2 linked regions of the Diceros bicornis minor genome follow. The protein of the gene in region 2 purifies or fractionates together with the protein of the main gene of each other region. This does not show direct contact. Links are inferred from orthologs where the notes say so. Each region holds a gene or a part of one and is shown on either strand. Other genes may lie near its edges. The genes, in order: ITGB1 and ITGA2.

The links.
Region 1: the proteins of ITGA2 (region 2) and ITGB1 purify together in Homo sapiens (co-immunoprecipitation; 3 studies listed by BioGRID and IntAct, with this or other methods). This does not show direct contact. The link is inferred for Diceros bicornis minor from reciprocal best matches to the Homo sapiens genes ITGA2 and ITGB1.

What each region holds. Positions count from the first base shown.
Region 1 is NC_080775.1:31,096,615-31,106,403, forward strand, and holds the start of ITGB1 (integrin beta-1), read right to left. Parts: upstream 3,958-9,789; 5' UTR 3,853-3,957; intron 1-3,852.
Region 2 is NC_080759.1:22,502,921-22,512,697, forward strand, and holds the start of ITGA2 (integrin alpha-2), read right to left. Parts: upstream 4,872-9,777; 5' UTR 4,787-4,871; coding exon 4,729-4,786; intron 1-4,728. UniProt on the Homo sapiens protein: Integrin alpha-2/beta-1 is a receptor for laminin, collagen, collagen C-propeptides, fibronectin and E-cadherin. It recognizes the proline-hydroxylated sequence G-F-P-G-E-R in collagen.

The sequences.
Region 1 (9,789 bases), on a different chromosome or scaffold from region 2:
TTTTTTCAACTGCCTACTGAAATATTCTAAGGCTGCTACTGTTCTGGGTTCTATGGACTGCAGCTCCTTTAACCTAAGTATGTACTGTAATATTTTTTCAGTTTTCTACAGCTACAGACACGGCTACCACTTCAGGACCCTGATGACTAATGTGCTCTTTCCTACCCTTATTCCTGTCAACCCTTCCTCCCTACCACAAGACTCCCACCTCTGCAACAACATAAAAGGACAACAATCCTATAATATATAACCGAAGTCAGAACAGACCTGCTAATACGACAAGAGATATTTACATATTGGCACAATATAATCCTCTAGGATTCTACCCACAACCTGACAGATCTAACTCTCCATGTAGAGTGGGGAAATGTAAAATTTAACAACAGTCCATACGAATCCTTTCGGAAATTTAGCTTGTTACAAGTTTAGAAATTTAAATTCTTAGAACTCAAAAGTTCTGAAACTTTTACCAGTTAGATGTTTCATCTCATCACCCTAGAGTGTAGTTAAGAGCAAAACAGTGCACTTACAGAATATTAAAGAAAAATATTTTCTTCGGATAGAATATTACACTACTCCCCCCATGCTGTGAGCCACAGTTTATTTCACAAGAAGCCAAACAAATAAAGATATTAAGTGGCCAGAGTTCCATGAAAACTAACACTATGTTAAACTGTTTGACTAATTTTCACTATTTCATAAAGTTATAAAGTGACCAGAGGTCCCCAGAGTCTCTCTCGGAGTTAAGAATTTATCAACACCAACAGAGAACTGCATATTCATTCAGTGATGGTAATTTGGGGCAGATTTTAATTATACTGATCAGAAAGTTAAGAAGAAAACCACCGGATTGTTAAAATTACTAAATCCAGTGATTTTCAATATCATTGATTCTATACTTTTCATGTGCAGAATGTCGAGGGGATTAGAAAAATAATCTTAATATAGAACTTGACATTCTTTTTATTTATTTATTTTTGTGTGTGTGTGAGGAAGATCAGCCCTGAGCTAACGTCCATGCTAATCCTCCTCTTTTTGCTGAGGAAGACCGGCTCTGAGCTAACACCTATTGCCAATCCTCCTCCGTTTTTTTTTTCCCCCAAAGCCCCAGGAGATAGTTGTACGTCATAGTTGCACACCCTTCTAGTTTCTGTATGTGGGACGTGGCCTCAGCATGGCCAGAGAAGCGGTGCGTCAGTGCGCGCCCGGGATCTGAACCTGGGCCGCCAGTAGTGGAGCTCGTGCACTTAACTGCTAAGCCATGGGGCTGGCCCCCAAACTTGACATTCTTTTTAAAAGAATCAACATCACAAAAACAAAAGTTTAGGTCTGTGAAGTCCACGCAGATGACTTAATGTGGAGTTTATCTGCTCTTTATTTACAGAAGTATTAACCACATCCCGTCTTTCTTTTTTTTTAATAACTTTTTAAGTGTAGCAAAATATACATAACATAAAACTCACCATCTTAACTGTTTTTAAGTGTACAATTCACCATATTAAATACATTCACACTGTTGTGCAACCATTACCACCAACCATCTACAGACTCTTCATCTTGCAAAACTGAGTCTGTACTCATTAAACAACAACTCCCACACTCCTTTTCGCCAGCCCCTGGCAACCACCCTTCTACTCCGTCTCTCTGAATCTGGCTTCTCTAGGTACCTCATAGAGGCGGAATCAGACAGTATTTGTCCTTTTGTGACGGGCTTATTTCACTCAGCATAATGTGCTTCCCCTTACTTTTCAAGAGCAGGAAAGTGGGAGCAATGGAGTTGGGCTTCTTTTTAAAAAGTCGTTTCTTGAAATGTTGTTGTCTTCTAATTCAACTAGAGCTCACCATCGCAGATAACAGCTTTGGACATTATGCTCATGCATCCCCTGTCTTTTTAACTGGCATTCTAATAACATCCATTTTATACTGAATTTTAGCATAAGTAAAATGGATTTGCCTCAAACGCCTGTAACCAAAATACTGATTTGTTTCATCTGTTTTCTAATTATCACTGCCTCGTCTTCAGTTACATAATACTGATCACAGAACCAAAATTATTTAAAAATATCACCGTTATTGGGACTCTTAAGTAAGTCCTGTCCCCTCTGGGCCTTGATGTCCACAAACGTAAAATAAATAACTTCCAACTAAAATTCCTTAATCATTTCTAAAAGTAGTCTATTATACAATCTATTGCAAAAGCTGTATTTAGTTTAAGAAAGACGCCAAATCAAAATTCACTTCACATTTATTTTCATACCATCAAAACAACAATAAAAAATAACAACCCAGTAATTCTACCACCTAAGTATCTACGTGGGATGCAGACCCCAAAAAACCTTACTAATGATGTTATCAATTACATGCTGAGATTTTTTTTAATCATTTAATATACTAAGAAGGAAGGAAAAGAGATCAATATTTATTGAGCTTCTACTCTAACCTAAGTGTTTTACATTTTACGTGTGATTTTTCACAACTATACTGTACTTACGGAAGATTACTTGTGGTTCAAACATGGTCTAGACAAGGTTTCTCCACCTACTAGCTGGATGACCACAGGCAAATGACTTATGCTCCCTTCGCCTCAGTTTCTTCATTTATAAAATGGGGATAAAAACGGCACCTACCTCACGGATCAGTTCCAGAATTAAACGACAAAATACATGTAAAAGTGCCTAGAGCTACACATGGCCCTCACTGTCGTTCTTATAATAATTAATTACTACTGTTATTAGTGTAGGTATTCTTGTTCCCATTTCAAAGATAAGGAAATGGAAGCTTAAAGAATGTAAATGACTAGTGATCATACCAACCAGTACTAGGTTTTGACTCAAAAGCACAAATTTGATCAAATAAAAATTACTTAGGCATTAAACACTGGTATTCTTAAAAATAGAACTTGTTTTTAGGAAGCATAAGAAATGACACATAGTAAGCCGGCATCAGAACCGGTCGGGCACTAAACCCTGCGGGGACGCCGGGAGGGCCGGCCGGGCCCTGCGCGCTCAGGGCGCCCGGCCCAGGACGCGGCTCCCTCCGGCCCCTGCGGGCGCCGGCCGCCCCGCCTGCCGAGGTATCCGGCACTCCAGTGCGGCTCTTTTAAATATTAAGCGGAAAAAAAAAAACCCCACCATATGCCAACGCTGCGCCCTCTTCTCCTAGCTGCTCTCCGACGCCCCCTCTTGTTCAGGTCCACCCCCCCTTCATCCCACGCCACAGGCGCTGAGAGCCAGCACCCAACTTCTGGAAGTGGGAAGGACGAACAATTTTCCTTATGTGGAAGCTAATGACTAAGCTCAACGTTGCTCAAAGAAAGAGCAGCCCGCGCCCGAGACGGAGACAAAGAGCAACTGTCAAGGATCGTTCCAAGTCCTGGGACGGCGCGTCCCGGGAGGCCCCGTCCGCGCCCGCACTGCGCGCCGCGGCGGCGGAGGGGACCCGGGCGCGCGGGGCGAGCTCCCTCTCCGGCGCCCAGGCCGCGCGTCCGGCACGGGGCGCTGTGAATGGCAGGCGTCTGAGCGGCCGGTCGGGGCCCCGGTCCTCGCACCCCGCGCCCCCGACGTGACAGCGCCCAGGCCGGCGACCCTCCCACTCGGACCGCGGGGGCCGGCTCTGCGCGCTCGGGCCGCCGGCGCGCGGGAGGGACGGAGGCGGCGGGGAGGGGGCCAAGGTCCGCGAGAGAAGCCTGGAGGGCGGGCGCCGGCCGGACTTCCCTTCCTGCCCGAAGGCTGGAATCCGCCTCCCCCACCCCGGCCGGACAGAGAGGTCCCGGCCTGGCCGCGGCGGGCGGCCCGAGGTCCGGCCGCGCACCCGGGCCCGGAGGCCGCCGCCCGCCCCGTGCCGGGCCCCTACCTTCTCCGGGCGGCGTCCGGGCCCCGGCCGGTCGGCTTGGGCCTGCTGCTCCGCGGCTCCCGCTCGGCCTCTCCCGAGGGCTGGCGCGGCCTCCCGGTCTCGGGCGCGGCGGGCGGCGGCGACCCCGCCTCCTCGGGGGCGGGAGGAGGAGACTCGGCCCCCGGAGCCGCCTCCCGCAGGAAACGACCCCCGCGGCACCGCCTCCTCGGCGCGGCCGAGCCTGCTCCTCGGGCCGCCGCCGCCGCCCTCTCCCTCCGGAAGCGCATTCCTCTCCGGCCGCGTCAGCCGCGCCCCAGGCGAGGAGGAGGCGCGGGCGGCGGAGGCGGCGGGAAGACCGAGGCCGGGACAAAGGAGCTGGCCCGGGGAGCCGCGCTGGGAGGGCGGGGCACGGGACCGGCGGAGGCCTTCGCCGTGCCTCAGTTTTCTTTTCTGCTAAGCGGGAGCGGGAGGTGTAAGGCCTCGGCGAGCGTTAATCGTATCCTCCCATAAGAGAAGGCCGGACGGGCCGTGGGCAACCCGGGGCGGGACTCTCCTTTTCCGCCTCTCTTAGGTTCTGCTTCCCCGAAGCCGCAGGTCTGTCTGTCCGACCCACCGTCCCGTTTGCCGGGGGGACTGTCCCGGGAGCCCCTTCAGTCCCAGGCAAATCGAGGCAGGGCTTCGTGGGGCCCGAAAATGTTTTCCTTTTGAAAGGGAATTAGCCAAAGCCAATACTGTTTTTCTGGAGTGATAGTTTGCTTGGCTTATGTGTATGAGGAAGGTGAAGACTTAGGAAGGAGATGGGTGCCAACAAAGATGGAGACGAAGAATATTTTAGAGAATAACTGGTGAGTTGGGGAGTTGCTTTTGTTACATTAATCTGGAGGTCCATTTATGGGGAACAGGCATGTGAAGGAAAAGTTTCATCCTTAAGAATACAGTTTCTTTTGATTTTCACTTTTTTTAGTAGGTGGAGATGGGGGCTGGAGAAGGAACATTTAAAAGAGAAGGGAAACATTCATTACGAGAATGGCTGGGCACATTTTGATAAGAGAATTGAAACCTGTGCCAACATCATACTGAAACCCAGTAATTCAGAATATGCTGTTGACAAGCTGCCATTCTGTTAGAAAATGTGAGTTGCCAGCTGGTGAGCTGCAGCACCCCGTGGGGAATAGAGCTCAAATTATGAGATTTGTGAAACTGAGAAGTAGTGTTTCACTTGGGGGAGATTAGAAGCTGGGATGCCCATTTGATTGCCAATCTTAAATAAGAGAAAATAAAATAATACCATCTATGGAAAATTTGCACATTGCTCACCAGCAAAAGCAAATCTGTTGACTAGATAATCTCTGAAAACCTCTAAAGAAGTTAGCATGATCTTTCCCACTTAATGGTTGACCAAGGTTAAGAGGCTGAATGATGTTTCTATATTAGTAACCCAATTGTAAAGCTGCCACTAGACCTCAACATTCTTGAATTTAAAGGTGTTGGTTATACCACTATTCCAAATGAATCAGAATTGGCTGAGGCTCAGCATAGGAAATTATAGTTCTAAAGATAAAGTGGAATTGATTGATGCTTGATTTGCACTACATTTCCCAGAATTTTCTTCCCTGTATATGATTTGAGGAGGCGATCTTTGCCACAAGAACATTATGAGTTTTACGTTTGCACAACCCTAAACTAAATTAGTTCAAGGGCAGTTTAATTATCTTTTTAATCCCAGGGTCAAACACTGTTCCAGGACACATAATGGGGGCTCAGCTAATGTTTGATAAATGAATAAATGGGTCCTTTTGCTACCCTGGGACCAGGCCAGAGCATTTGGCTAAACTGAAGTGTGAGTAACAATTTATGTATGAGAGTCATGAGCTTTGAGGAAAAGAGAAATTAAAGAAACATGTTCTTTAAGATAAGCAGTGATTGGTCAGGAGTATGACTCTACTTGTAATTTCATATAAATATTAACCGATGGACAGTTAGCTAACTATAAAATTTTTGAACACTCCAAACAAGGGTTGGTCAGTCACCATGCGCAACAGGAAATCCTGGTAAGTAAGAATAGTGGGAGTCACATTGCTTAACCACATCATGATAGAACATCTAATAGTATTTTGAATTTAAGACAAATCATACTTTACCTACACTGTCTCCCAATTATTATAAATTGTCTTCTGACATCTCGTCATAACTCATTATGTCAAATAATTAAAAGTTGGCCTTTCCTTTAGTTTTGGCGCCATACTACCATATACTCTTCAAAATGTCTTTATTCACCTACTGTTTTCCGAAGTAAAGTTTCAAAGTTGTTCACCAGCAAAGACTTGATTGGATGCCCAAGTTCATTTTAATCATTAATAATTACAAATTACAGATAATAATTACAAATATTTCTATTTTTAATTAAAGGATAGGCTTACATAAATGAAAGGAACCATTAATATTAAGTCAGGTACAAAAGAGCCTAAAGGCTTCTCTAGAAACCTGATTATCTCTTTCAAACATCACAGTTTGATTACTGCCCTTCAGATCTAGTAGGTTGTATTTAATCACCTGATTATGGAATATGGGATTGGGAGGGAGAGTGAGTGGAGAGCTGTCTTTTTCTTGTAGTTTGAGCACTCTTGGGACTTAGCCTTTCAAATATGACTCCATCCAGTAAATCACAAATCATCCTATGCTAACTTGAATGCTTTTCAGTCTTTCAGAGTGGAAACAACCCTAACCAGTGTAAACTTTTGTGGGCAGGTAGCTCAGTACACATTCCTTTATAAATCATTTACCACATGCAACAGTCATCAGAGGGCAAGACCTCATGGGGTTTGAACAAAGGATGAATACCTGCATTGTGAGAATAGTATACCCAAGACCAAATATTTTTTGGTATTGGCCATTGACTGACACATTGTGGCACAATCCATACCAGATCATTTTTAAGTAAGCAGGGTGACTTTGTGTCCCGGTATGCCCAAGATAGCCCCAGTTTGTCTGTTGTCCAAGCATAATTATCAATAGCACCCCTTTTCAGTCTCAAAAGTACATCCTGATATGGTTAATAGATTATATGGTCAGTCACCCTATAAATAAGAGTGTCCAGACAATGAATAATGAGAAGAGTAGTTTTAGAAATTCAAAGGGGATACACAGGGACACTGCAAATCAGGCTCCAGGTTGATAGGTGAAGACTAATTCTAACATTGATGATAAGGAAAAAAATTGTGTGGGGCAGGAGTGTGCTGAATTAGGCAGTTCCTATGTGATGAAAATGCCCTACTAGGAGATTTAATTAAGGAAAATCCTTGGAAGTAGCCTGGCTAATCAACAAGACTTGGGTTTTAAATACCATTTAAATATCTGTGATGGCTTCTGGAGCAGACTGATTGACAGTGGCTAGTGAGTCTTCAGCCTCTTTTCTAAGAACTGTTTCTACAGAGTGACCTAGATATATTTTTCTCATCTGCCACCTCCGGATGCTTAGAATTTAACTCCTTTAAACATTAAAAAAAGAAAAAGACAGCGGATGGGGATAGAAGGAATAGAAGTCTCTGATAATGCCCTCTAATACTAACGTGGAGGTGCTTCTGAATCATAAATAACTCCATTCCTTTTTCTGAGAAACTAAACTCCCTCTATTAAAATGTGAATCTGTGTGCTTTGGTAAAAAAAGCAGCCCTGGGAATTACTGGCATTTTGAAAAACAAGAAATGGTAAGACAGTCCTTCTAGTTCCTCCTTTTTCTGTCTCCAAATATATAAATAATATGCAAATAATCATATAGTGTAGAAAAACTGGAAGTTTATTTATTTTGCAACTTTTTGTTTTGGCTTGATGGCTTCAATTTAGAGAGCACTCCTCAATGCCCTGCCATAATTTCCAGAGGACCCATGAAAAATTCAGTTTGCTGCAAGGCAGCCACCCACCTTGTACATATGGCAGGTGTCTGTATTTGACTAGCCTGTCCTGAGGCTTTAGTTAGTGCTTTATTCCTTTGCTTATTTAAAAGTAAGGTGGCAAATGTCAGAACAGTCTGGCCTGATTTGCAATGTGTCCCTTATAGTTTAGGCTAGCCATTAAGTCTTTTCCTTTTCTAGATAGTTAACAGTTGCTAGATTATGGCTTTGAATATGGGTCACGTCTGAGCAAAGCTGCCTCAACCGGTTCTGCTTCCTGATATAGCATCCCCGCTTTTGGTCCTGCTCAGTCCGTGGAGTATTGCCTCCACTGGGTGGGAGCATTCCCTGCCAGCATTCAGATGCTGAACATTTTTAAGAGCCCAGAGGAAACAGTGTTTTTAGGCAGCTCTTTTCAGACACTGGGTTTCTTCAGCTGGAGAAGGGAATGTGCCTTCCCAAATAAGAATGAAGAATATGCCAAATATAAGCAGTTGAATAGCACTGGAGTTATTTTTAGGAACCAGGGTCACTCAATAGAGGAAATGATGGTGCTACCAACAAGTTATGGCTAGTGACTATAAAACAACATTCTTTGTTTCCTCATTTAACTCCTTTTAAGAATATTTGGCAATTTGAATTAAGAGCAGCCTGATTTGAGGCCTGATTCATTAGGGAGTCGGAAGTCTAGGTCAGTTAAAAGATACGTTTGTTTGGTAAGTAAAAGCACCCTATTTCCCCAAATTAATCCCCATAATGTTATCTAAGATTGAGTTCTTGCTGTGTACCAATATATGGGAAACCGTGTGTCTATGAACCCCCTAAAATTTGTAGACAAAATTTCATTTATACATATAGATCTGCATTTCTGCAGATATTTCTGGTTTAAATGGTATCTTAACCCCAAAACATTAAGAATCACTATTTTAAGCTCAGATATAATCAGTTCCTTTTATAGACCAAGAGCCTAAACAAATTTTTTTGTAGTTGCCCTGGAATTTTCAGTTATATGTTTGTTAGTCTTATCTAAAGCAATTTTTGTGTGTGTGTGTGTGTGTGTGAGGAATACTAGCCCTGAGCCAATATCCGATGCCAATCCTCCTCTTTTTGCTGAGGAAGATTGGCCCTGGGCTAACATCTGTGCCCATCTTCCTCTACTTTATATGGGATGCTGCCACAGCATGGCTTGACAAGCGGTGCCTCAGTGCACACTTGGGATCCGAACCTGCGAACTCTGAGCAGCTGAAGTAGAGCACGCGCACTTAACTGCTGCACCACTGGGCCAGCCCCTAAAACAATCTTTTAAACATAAGATAAATGTCCAATATTTTGTTATAGCAAGATTTTCACTGCAGTCTTATTTAACCTGTAGGAGGTAGAACAGAAAAAGCACAATCATTTGTGATCAAACCACACAACTAAAGAGTGTGCTGTTTGTATTTACTTTTCAAGGTAAAATAAACATCAAAGAGAAACTAGAACTTTTTGTTTCAGATTTCCAACTTACATACTAGGACTTAAATGCCTTCAAATTATATTTAAAGGGGCCGGCCCAGTGGCACAAGCGGTTAAGTGTGCACGCTCCGCTGCAGTGGCCCGGGGTTCGCCGGTTTGGATCCCAGGCGCGCACTGACGCACTGCTTGTCAAGCCGTGCTGTGGCAGCGTCTCATATGAAGTGGAGGAAGATGGGCATGGATCTTAGCCCTGGGCCAGTCTTCCTCAGCAAAAAGAGGAGGATTGGCAGATGTTAGCTCAGGGCCGATCTTCCTCACACACACACAAAAAATCATGTCTAAAAATCACCCTGATTAAAAACTGTTGTAAATAAGATATAAGATATAAGCCCTGTTCTCCAGTACCAGCATTTTCAATAATAATAAGGTGATATTTGCATCTCCATCTATGTTACTCCTTGTCTATCACTTAATTTTTATAGATATGTAAATATATAAAAATATATATAATTTAATATGTAACAAATATATATAAATATGTAATTTATATATATATTCTGATATATATGAAAAAGGAAAGAATGATGTGAGGTTTTTATTGTTATATATCAAT
Region 2 (9,777 bases):
CCTCCACATCTCATTGGCCAAAAGTGCTTTACATGCCCATGTATAAATCAGACACCGGCGAGAGGTATGGGACCATCATGATTGGCTCAGTCCAATCACCCCTCAACATCCCCTGGATCGTCTAGGTGTGCAGAGGAGGAGGGAAACCCAATAACTGGACTTCTGTGAGAAAGGAGGATGGCGGGGTCTGAAATTGGTTAGGCACCCTCCAGGGGCTGAGACGAAGTCCTTCCCTCATGTCTGAACTTGTTTCTGAATAGACTACAACCTCTCTGGACCATGTTTCAAGTTTCCTATGGTTCCACATTGGGCCTAGCACGTTGCCTTACATATAGCAACTACTGCGTAAAAATATGATCAAATACTAGTTTTATGGAATTCACTGCAGCCAGATCAACAAAGCACCTGTGGATCACGTGAAGGGGCATCATAGGAATCACTTTCATATCCAGAAGCTATTGTTGTTTCAGGATTTGTGATATCAAGATTCTTCTCTTTAGAGAGTATTCTTCTATTGTGTTCATCCGAGTAAATCATTTGTCACTATAACAAATGAAAAAAAAAAAAACACAAAACCCTTCACATCTTTGACTTGCTAATGAGAGTGACAGCCTTCCATGGTTTTTTCTCTTTTATGCTGTGCTGAATCTTTCAGCAATATCCCAAGCTAAGCAGGGCTGATAGTCCAGACTAAAGCTTGTGACTTTAACAGTAATATTTACATGATGTCAGGATGATACTTTTGGTCCCAAATATTTTCCCTGAAATTCTTTATTTTTGACACACTAACTAAATGTGTCTTTATTTTGCTGAATGTCTAACATTCCATCATTACAAGCTCATCTTTTTACATTAATAGGCTTCTCCCTTTTAATATGCCCAAGGCTGTTAGCACTGAGACAGGAGCAGTCAGCACCCACTTTAGAGGGAATTCACTCAAACTGAGGCATTCACTGACTCCTGTGTTGAAATCTACCTGTCTTGGTGGTCATCTCACAACCAGGTAGTACAGGCAACACTGGAAATTTAATTCGTTAGGAAAGAGGAGGTGCAGTGCTAATATTTAAGCAATTACTTCTAAACTTGGCTGTACATCAGAAACATATGAGTAATTGTTTTTAAATACTGAATCCTGAGCCCCAATCCATGACTTTAAATCAAACAGTGGCTCATAAGCCAGTATTTAAGAGAGCAAAGCTCAGCGGAGGTTGGGCAGGTATAGCAGGTACAGCTGGAGAGCCCCGGGGTGGGAGGAGTTACGTTCTCAGAGGGGGGCCTAAGTCTGTTGAGGGGCTGAGGATGAGAGGAGAGAGGTAGTTTAGAGTTAGTCCCAGAAATGAGAGATTATCTCAAGCTTCCTTTTTTTGTTACAAAAGAAAAACTTCCCTACTTTATAATTCTGCTTGAGATTGTCTCTTCTAACATTGGACAACGGTCGTTTGCAAAGGGATGAGAGAGAAAGATAAAAAGCATCAAGGCAGTGAAAGCAAAGAGAATAGTCTGGAAAATATTATAACACTAAATATAAGATAATCAGGTGCAGTCAGAACACAGAAGGGTGGATATACATGGCTTTGGGGTGTGTGTATTGTGTGTGCATATGTGTAGTGTGTGAGCTTGTGCATTAAGTGTGTGCAGGAGTGGATGTGGTAGAGGAAAGACTGAATAGGCAGGCTGCGGCCAGATGGCGAAGGACCAAACGTTTAATCAAGGCAGTGATTGAATACAGGTAAGCATTCAGAAAGTAACATTGGTGACAATGAGGAGAATGGACTGGACGGATAAGAGACAAAAACAGGACAACCAATTTTAAAACTGTAGTTGTCCAGACACAAAAAAAGCAAGGGCCTGAACGGGGTGGTTGCAGAAGTTGCATGAGTTGGAGAGGAGAGAGAACAGAACCTGAGAGATTGGCCGTGAGGGTGAAAACGAGGGAAAGGATTCCTAGTTTTAGGAATACACGATATTGCTGCCATTAAACAATAGTAGAAGATATAAGAGAAAATTTCAAAGGACAGGTGTTGACCTCAGTTGAGGACATGTGGAGTTTGACGTGCTTTTATGACATCTAGGTGGAGATACTTGGTAGCAGATGGAAATAGTGATCTGGAACTCAGGAGGGGAGTCTGGCTGGAGATAATGACTTGAGCAGGGAACTGGCCCAGAGAGAATTGGTAGAATGAAGAGGAGGATCCAGGATGGAACTCTGTGAACACCAAGGACCGGGCCAAACAGATGAGCCTGTGAAGGAGACTAAGAAAGAACAGCCGGGAAAATAGGAGAAAAGAGCAGAAGCCAGAGGTGGAGAGTGTTTCAGGAGGAAGGAGCTGCCAAATTACATATTAAAAGGAGGAGTTGCTTACTATGAGAGAAACTAGAATTATTTACAGCCTGAGGGAAAATTAGAGAGAGGATGTGAAGATATTCCTTAAAGAGGGGATGACTGGTGCAGGGTACCAGAGGCAGTGAGAGAAGATGAGGCCTAGAACCCAGGGGGAGGATTGTCCTTGGCCTGGCAACACACCTGAGAATGTGTGACATCATCATTTTAAAATTACATTTCACTTTTCTCCACAGACCTATTATTTAGTTTAGGGATTATCTAGGTCTCATGACTGCAAGCACTTAAACCCAGGAATGACCAATGAAAGGTGATAATATGGAACCAAACTATGAATATCGCTGTTTCTTAAATACCCGTGAGAAGGTTTATGAAAAGCGAATGTGCATCTAAGTGTTAAATGAGATTTGAGGGTTTTAAGTTTCCACAGTGGTTGGTGTGTATGCTGGAGAGGATGAAGATATATAAAGACACACACATATATGCCTTTTACATTTTAATTTTTGGTATGTATTTATATAAAACAATTGTACATGTATATAATTTGTAAACAACTATATCTGTGTGTGTATAGTAATGACAAATACTCCAAAATTTTATACAGATAGGGTAATGCCATAAAAAATTTCAGCTATCACGGACCTAAAGATTTCATTTGTTCATGTTAATTTTGGATATTCATGGTTCAAAAAAATGATGCTGCTTCCATAGGAACCTCGACTGATATCACAGATGACAAAGCTTTATTATGATCATCCTGAATTAAAAGAAAACCTGTTCCTTGAGTATGCAAACAACTGGAGCAGAAGGAAGGAATAAACATGCAACATATTTTCACAGATGTCATTTCAGATCACCTCTGCTTGCTTGCATTGAGTTGTCCTTAGCAAATAACTCCAGGTGAAAATCTCTGTACCTGACCTCATGCCTTGCAGCAACACATTCCATCAAAGTATTTCTCATTCCCCTTTAAAAAACAAGCCTCAACAGCTCAAAGATAAGAAAATGATGTTATGTTTCCATAGCTTCTGTTAATGGATAATTAAAGAGAAATGCAAAGCTTGGAATTAAACGTCTATTAGCTCTTGGGAAGGTTGCCATGTTCCAGGGACTAATTTTCAATGTGAATCCAACTTTATCTGAAACCCCTAAATTAGGGTTGATGGCCTCTCAAAACACTCTTGGAGTCCCCAGAAAGAATATCTGTGAAGCACCAGACACAGGGTTAGAGAGAAAACCTATTGATGCCTATTCTCTGCTGGGCGTGGGGATGGTGGTGCTATTTCTCTGTTATCTCTGACCTGGAGAAAATGCTACAGGGTCCATCTGGACTAGGTTTCTTCCACAATAAAAAATAGCGACTGGCTAAATGCCTCGAAAGGAGGACAGTTTAGGAAATATTTATCTTCTTTGTGAAAACACTTGAAAATCAGAGACCATTTTTTTTGTTTTGATAGCTGTTCAAACTACAAAATACAAATGTGGCTTCTTTCCCACCAAGTAAACTGAAGTTCTTCAAGTAAGCACATTCTAGGCTCTGGATAAGGTCTGGGGACAGTTCTCTTGGTGGACGATGGTCGCACAGCAGCTCAGCACCCCAGCCTCACTTCCCCTCTCAGTGCAAAAGGAGTCGGGCGATGGGTGGGCCCCACTCTCACCGCCCTGCAGCTGCAGCTGCTGCTCCGGTGAATTCTGGCGGCTAAGATCAAGCAAGTGGAAAGAACTTTTCCTGGCCTAAGTTTACTTTCGTTGAGCAGACGACGTTACAACAAGAGGAAGGCAGAAGGAAGGAAGAATTCCCCTCTGCCAAGTATTTAAGAGGCACTTGGTTTTTCTATGTACCCTATGGGAGGAAACGTCAGTGCTGCGTCCTGAAGAAATACAGGCATTATTCATACCCTTGGGCTGAAAAATAAGCACTTTGGGCTCCCAGGCTCCTGCAAAGTCATCAGGCACGGCGCTGAGGAGGTGCAGGCTGCTGCCCAAGACTGGATTCCGGGGACCCACAGAACCCACTGGTCCCAATGTGGCACGGCACCTGTCTGAGCCAGGCTGCAGGACTCTCCATCTCCAGGACACCCGTTAATCTCCACTCCCTCTATGCATGTGTGCGCGTGCGTGTGTCTAAAACCAAAGCGCGCACTGAGATGACTTTGGAGGGTGTTTAACAGACAGGGTGAGACACGCATTATGGGGACACCAGGCAGGGGAGAGCGGGAATGGGGAGTCTCTCCATCCGGCTCCGGATGGCAGGGAGCCTGGTCCACGTGATATCCAAGGGGAGACGCGCGCTGCCTGCGCCCTCATTCCACATAACCCCTCCCGCCCGCCCCCGGGACCCGCGCAGGTCCCTCCTGCAGCCGATGCGGAGCAAACTCCTCGCTTACCTTGACTGAGCACTAACACCAGCCGCAGCGGCGCGGCCCCTGTCCGTCCTGGCCGCATCCTGCGCCTGCCCTGGGGACTGTAGCTGCTCTGGGTTTGCAGAGAGATCCAAGAATCCAGACACTCTCCAAAGCAGTCTCCAGAGCTTCTCTCCTCCTCCCGGGTGAGAGCCGGGAAAAGTTGCCCGGCAGCTTCTGGGGCGCCAAGGCCCGCCCCGGCCCGCCCCTCTGCCTCGGCAAACACCGGATCTGCCCTGGCCCCGCCCCGCCGAGCCCCGGCCCTCCGCCCCGGGCTGCACCTGGCTCCTCCACACCCCCGGAAACCACACCTTAACTCCCCTGCACGGTCCCAGCCCCGGGATCCCCGAAGCCTTGGGGATGGGGACGGGCCTTTCCTGCCCTGGACCGGACTGGCCGGGCACATCCGACGGGCAAGAGCCCGCCTGTCACTACCTCGACCCCCGACAGCCTGACGCCCCTCCGCAGGAGACCCCCGGGTCCCCAAGAGAACCCTGGCACTTCTGCAGCCATTCGCCGCTCCGGGATCCTGGGAGGGGTGGGAGGGCCAGGGGGAGCCGCGAGCCCTAAGCCCCAGTTCTTAGGGGCTGCGCGGTGCGTGGCTTTCTCTGCCTTTCCCAGGTAGGTGGAGAAACGGACAAAAATAAGCACAGAATGACCAGGTTAGAAACCAACTGGACAGGAAAGAAGATCTGCTCACAAGTGATGATTATCCGAGGTGATGTTTAAGCAAGACCTGCTGCGAGAGCATCGTGTGTGTGTGTGTGTGTGTGTGTGTGTGTGTGTGTGTGTGTGTGTGTGTGGTATAAATCTTCTTTCATTCCTCTCCTCCAAGATAAGGAGCTGATTTTTTTGTGTGTGTGAGGAAGATCAGCCCTGAACTAACATCCGTGCTAATCCTCCTCTTTTTGCTGAGGAAGACGGGCTCTGAGCTAACATCTACGGCCAATCCTCCTCCTTTATTTCCCCAAAGCCCCAGTAGACTGTTGTATGTAGTAGTTGCACATCCTTCTAGTTGCTGTATGTGGCCTCAGCGTGGCCGGAGAAGCCGGGAGGGGGGGGGGGGCGTCGGTGTGCGCCTGGGATCTGAACCCAGGCCGCCAGTAGCGCAGCGCGTGCACCGCTAAACCACCGGGCAGGCCCAAGGAGCTGATTTGATTACTAAATTTAAGCGATTTACTTCAAGACACAGAGAGAGACGAGTGAGAGCCCATACATGAATTCGTGACTCTTCCTCTGTCTATAGTACACCGTGACCATTTTCTTCCATTATTTCAGTCTCAGATCTGGAAAGAGAACAGTCTATAACCATATCTGAGATTTTTACTTACCTACCTAGGAACAGGACATTCACTTTTCTCTAAATTTGGTTTTTCCTCCAAAAGTTCAACCACAAATTCCCAACACGTTGCTGAAACCAGAATTCTTGCAGTGACTACTTTTGTGAAACAGCCAAATGTTTTAATAAATTAAACTTAAGGAGTTATTAGTCTAATCATTATTACTATCACTATTCCAAGTCTTATGGAGCAGGTATGATGAGCAAGATAGGATGCTTGGGATACTGCCACCATGAAGCAAAGTGGTTCAAGATGGGAAAGAATTCATTAATTGGTAAAAATCAAATGTTCCCCTTTACCATAGCTAGGCTGGAGTTTCCAATTTTTAAAGTATTAAATTGGTTTTTGTCAGATGCTACTGCTTATAATCATGACTCTAACCTCAATACCTTTGTACCCAAAATGTATAGCCCCTGGTTGTTTCCTGTTTTCTTATCTGTCACTTACTAACTCCACTTACTAATCCTGACAAACACTTGTGGGCATTTTCCTCTGACCTGCCTGCGGTACTCACCTGCTTACTAAGACTCTAGCTATCACCCGAGAGCTCGTAGGTGGCGGCTCAGTAACCCTGACACCCAAGTTTGACTCTCCTCACCAACTTCTCGTGGAAAGTCAGCCAGGTTTCAGGGAGATGAATATCTGTCTGTTTCCTTCTGACTCACTGAAATGTGAGTAACTATTTGGAACAGACCCTTATTTGGGAGGCAAGATAGTTCTCTTCATGTGAGACAGGAATTTGTGCTTTGTCTCTGGGTGCTGGAGAGGAAAATGCACCTTTCTTCCCTTTTGTGCTCAGAACTGAACAAATCAACAGTATGCTGGCATGAGGTACGGAATAAATCAGGAGCTATGTTTTTCTGGAGCAGGCAAAAATTTCAAATTTCAAGAAAAGCCAACTCCTGCCCCATGTTAATTTTAAGAGTGTCAAGGGTTCCTGAGACAAAACATTTTGAGAACTCTCCCCTTAATCTTCCTAGGGACTATCCTGCCTAGGTGTAATTGTTCTGGACGCTACATTCTGACCAGGAAATAAGGAAGATCAAGGCAGGGCTTCTCAAACTCTTTGATCTCAGGAGCCCTTTACACTCGTAAAATTATTGAAGATCCCTCGGAAGAATGGATAAAGAAAATGTGGTATGTAGATATGGCTGAATATTATTCAGCCGCAAAAAAGAAGGTTATCCTACCAATTGCAAAAACACAGATGAACCTGGAGGACATTATGCTAAGTGAAATAAGCCAGACAGAGAAAAACAGATAGTGTATGATCTCATTTACATGTAGAATGTAAAACAGTCAAACTCATAGAAGCAGAGAGTAGAATGGTGGTTACCAGGGGCTGGGGGTGGGGGAAATGGGGAGACGTTGGTCAAAGGGTACAAACTTCCAGTTGTAAGATGAATAAGTTCTGGGGCTCTAATGTACAGCCTGGTGACTACAGTTAACAATACTGTATCGTATACTCGAAAATTGCTAAGAGAGTAGTTCTTAAGTGTTCTCACCACACACACACACACACACACACACACACACACACACACAAAGATGGTAACTATGTGAGGTGATGGATATGTTAATTAGCTTGTGATAATCATTTCACAATGTGTATGTGTATCAAAACATAATGATGTATACCATATGTATACAATTTTAAATTGTCAATTATACCTCAATCAAGTTTGAAAAAAATTTATTGAGCATCCCAAAGAACTTCTATGTGGATTATTTCTATTAATGTTTACTATATAAGAAATTAAAACAGATACATTTTCCAATATTTATGTACTAATTTATTTTAAAATAACAATAAGCCTATTACATGTTAACATAAATAACATATATTTTGTGAAAAATAACGATATTTCCCCAAAATAAAAGAATTCATGAGAAGAATGGCATTATTGTACATTTTTGCCAATCTTTTTAATATCTGGCTTAAAAATAAACACTTGGATTTTCATATCTGCTTCTGCATTCAATCTGTGTGATATGTAGTTTTGGTTAAATTATATGAATTAATCTGGCATCATACAGATATGCAGTTGGAAAAACAGGACATAATTGTGGATATTCTTCAGACACTGCACCAAAACTCGACAAGTGGTGGTTTCTTCAAGACTAGTTGTAATGTGGAATCTGAAACCATATCAATGAACTTTTCCTACCCCAGTGCATTCAAATTCATTGGTCTATGAGCCCTTTGAACAGATCTTTTACCCATGCAAGATTTTGTCCCAAGATGCATTAGCATTTGGAAATTATTGGTTCACTGAGTTATGCAGATCTTCCAATTGTTGACACCTTTCAGTACACAATATCAAAAAAAATCCTGTCACCACCTATCTCATCAGAAAAGTCTCTACATATTGGGAAAATGTCAAGCTTATGCTGGTAGATACACATTTCCAAAATTCTAATTTTCACTTGAAAGCTGGAATTTTATCGTTGGCAACAAATACTGTCAGTTGTTTTGCTTGAAATGAAAAGCCCACTTTGTTCATTTTTTAGAAATGTCTGTCGGCTACCCAAGTCTGAGCAACCATAAGTTATATATCAATTGTTCTTTCAGGTAAAACTAATGTTTCATGAAAAAAATGGCACATTCAGTTTAGGCATCGTTGAGACAACCGTCCTACTTCAGTGCACAGCAGAAGTGCTTTATGTGTACTGCCCAGATTAACGCATGCAAAATATTCAAAAGACATACTCAAGGGTCAAGATTTATTAAAGTAATAAATTTACTGATTTATCAAGGGTATTCTTAAGTGAAACTAGCTCCTCCTTCTTCCTTCCTCCCTTCTTTCTTCCCTCTCTCCCTCCCGCCTCCTCTCCCTTCCTCTTGCACCATCAGGGTAAATGTGAACACAGTGAAAAACACGAATAGCGTCTCAGTATTATTATGGAAATCATTTTGACCTATTAAGCACCTGAAAGGGTCTTGAGACACCCAGGGACCACAGTCGAAGAACTGCTAAGGGATGGAGTGAGGCCTCTCCTCACTAAGGGAGGAGGCTCAGAGGTATATTTTCCCACTGTTCCCCTCTGACCTCTTTTTATCTTCATATCTGGCTCTTCTTTGCTTATCTCATTCCACATATACAATCACCTAAACCAGAAAGTTTTGCTTTTCGTGTGTGGGGTTACTAACAGGCCTCCTTGCCAGGCCATATCAATTCTGTCTTTACTCTCTACCATGGTTATCTATGCCACTTCCTATTCTCTGTTCTACTGCTACTTGCGTTAGTTAAAGCCCTTTTGATCTTTCACCATGATGACAGTCTCCTAAACAATCTCTCTGGGCTTCCTCCTCCCTGTCTCTGGTCTACCCTTTAGACCATCATCCCAGTTCTCTTTCTAAATGGCAGGATTGATCTACTGAAAATCTTTGGATGTCTACAGGATGAAGTTCAAGTACCTTAGCGTTTAGGCTCCCAGATGACCCCCAACATGCCTCTGCAGCCTCTCCTACCAACCCCCAGTCTCTCCCCCCGACCTGCTGCCCTGAATCCCACGCTTAGGGCAAATTCACCTCTCCAGCGACCTGCTGCTCCCATTCTTCTTTGCTAAGTCCTTAGCTCTTTTTCTGCCTAAGATGGCTTTCTCTCTTTTATCCATTTTTTAAAATTCTACTTCAAGGCTCCAATCGAATTTTATATTACCTGCCCAGCCTTTTCCTTTATTCAGAACCAAT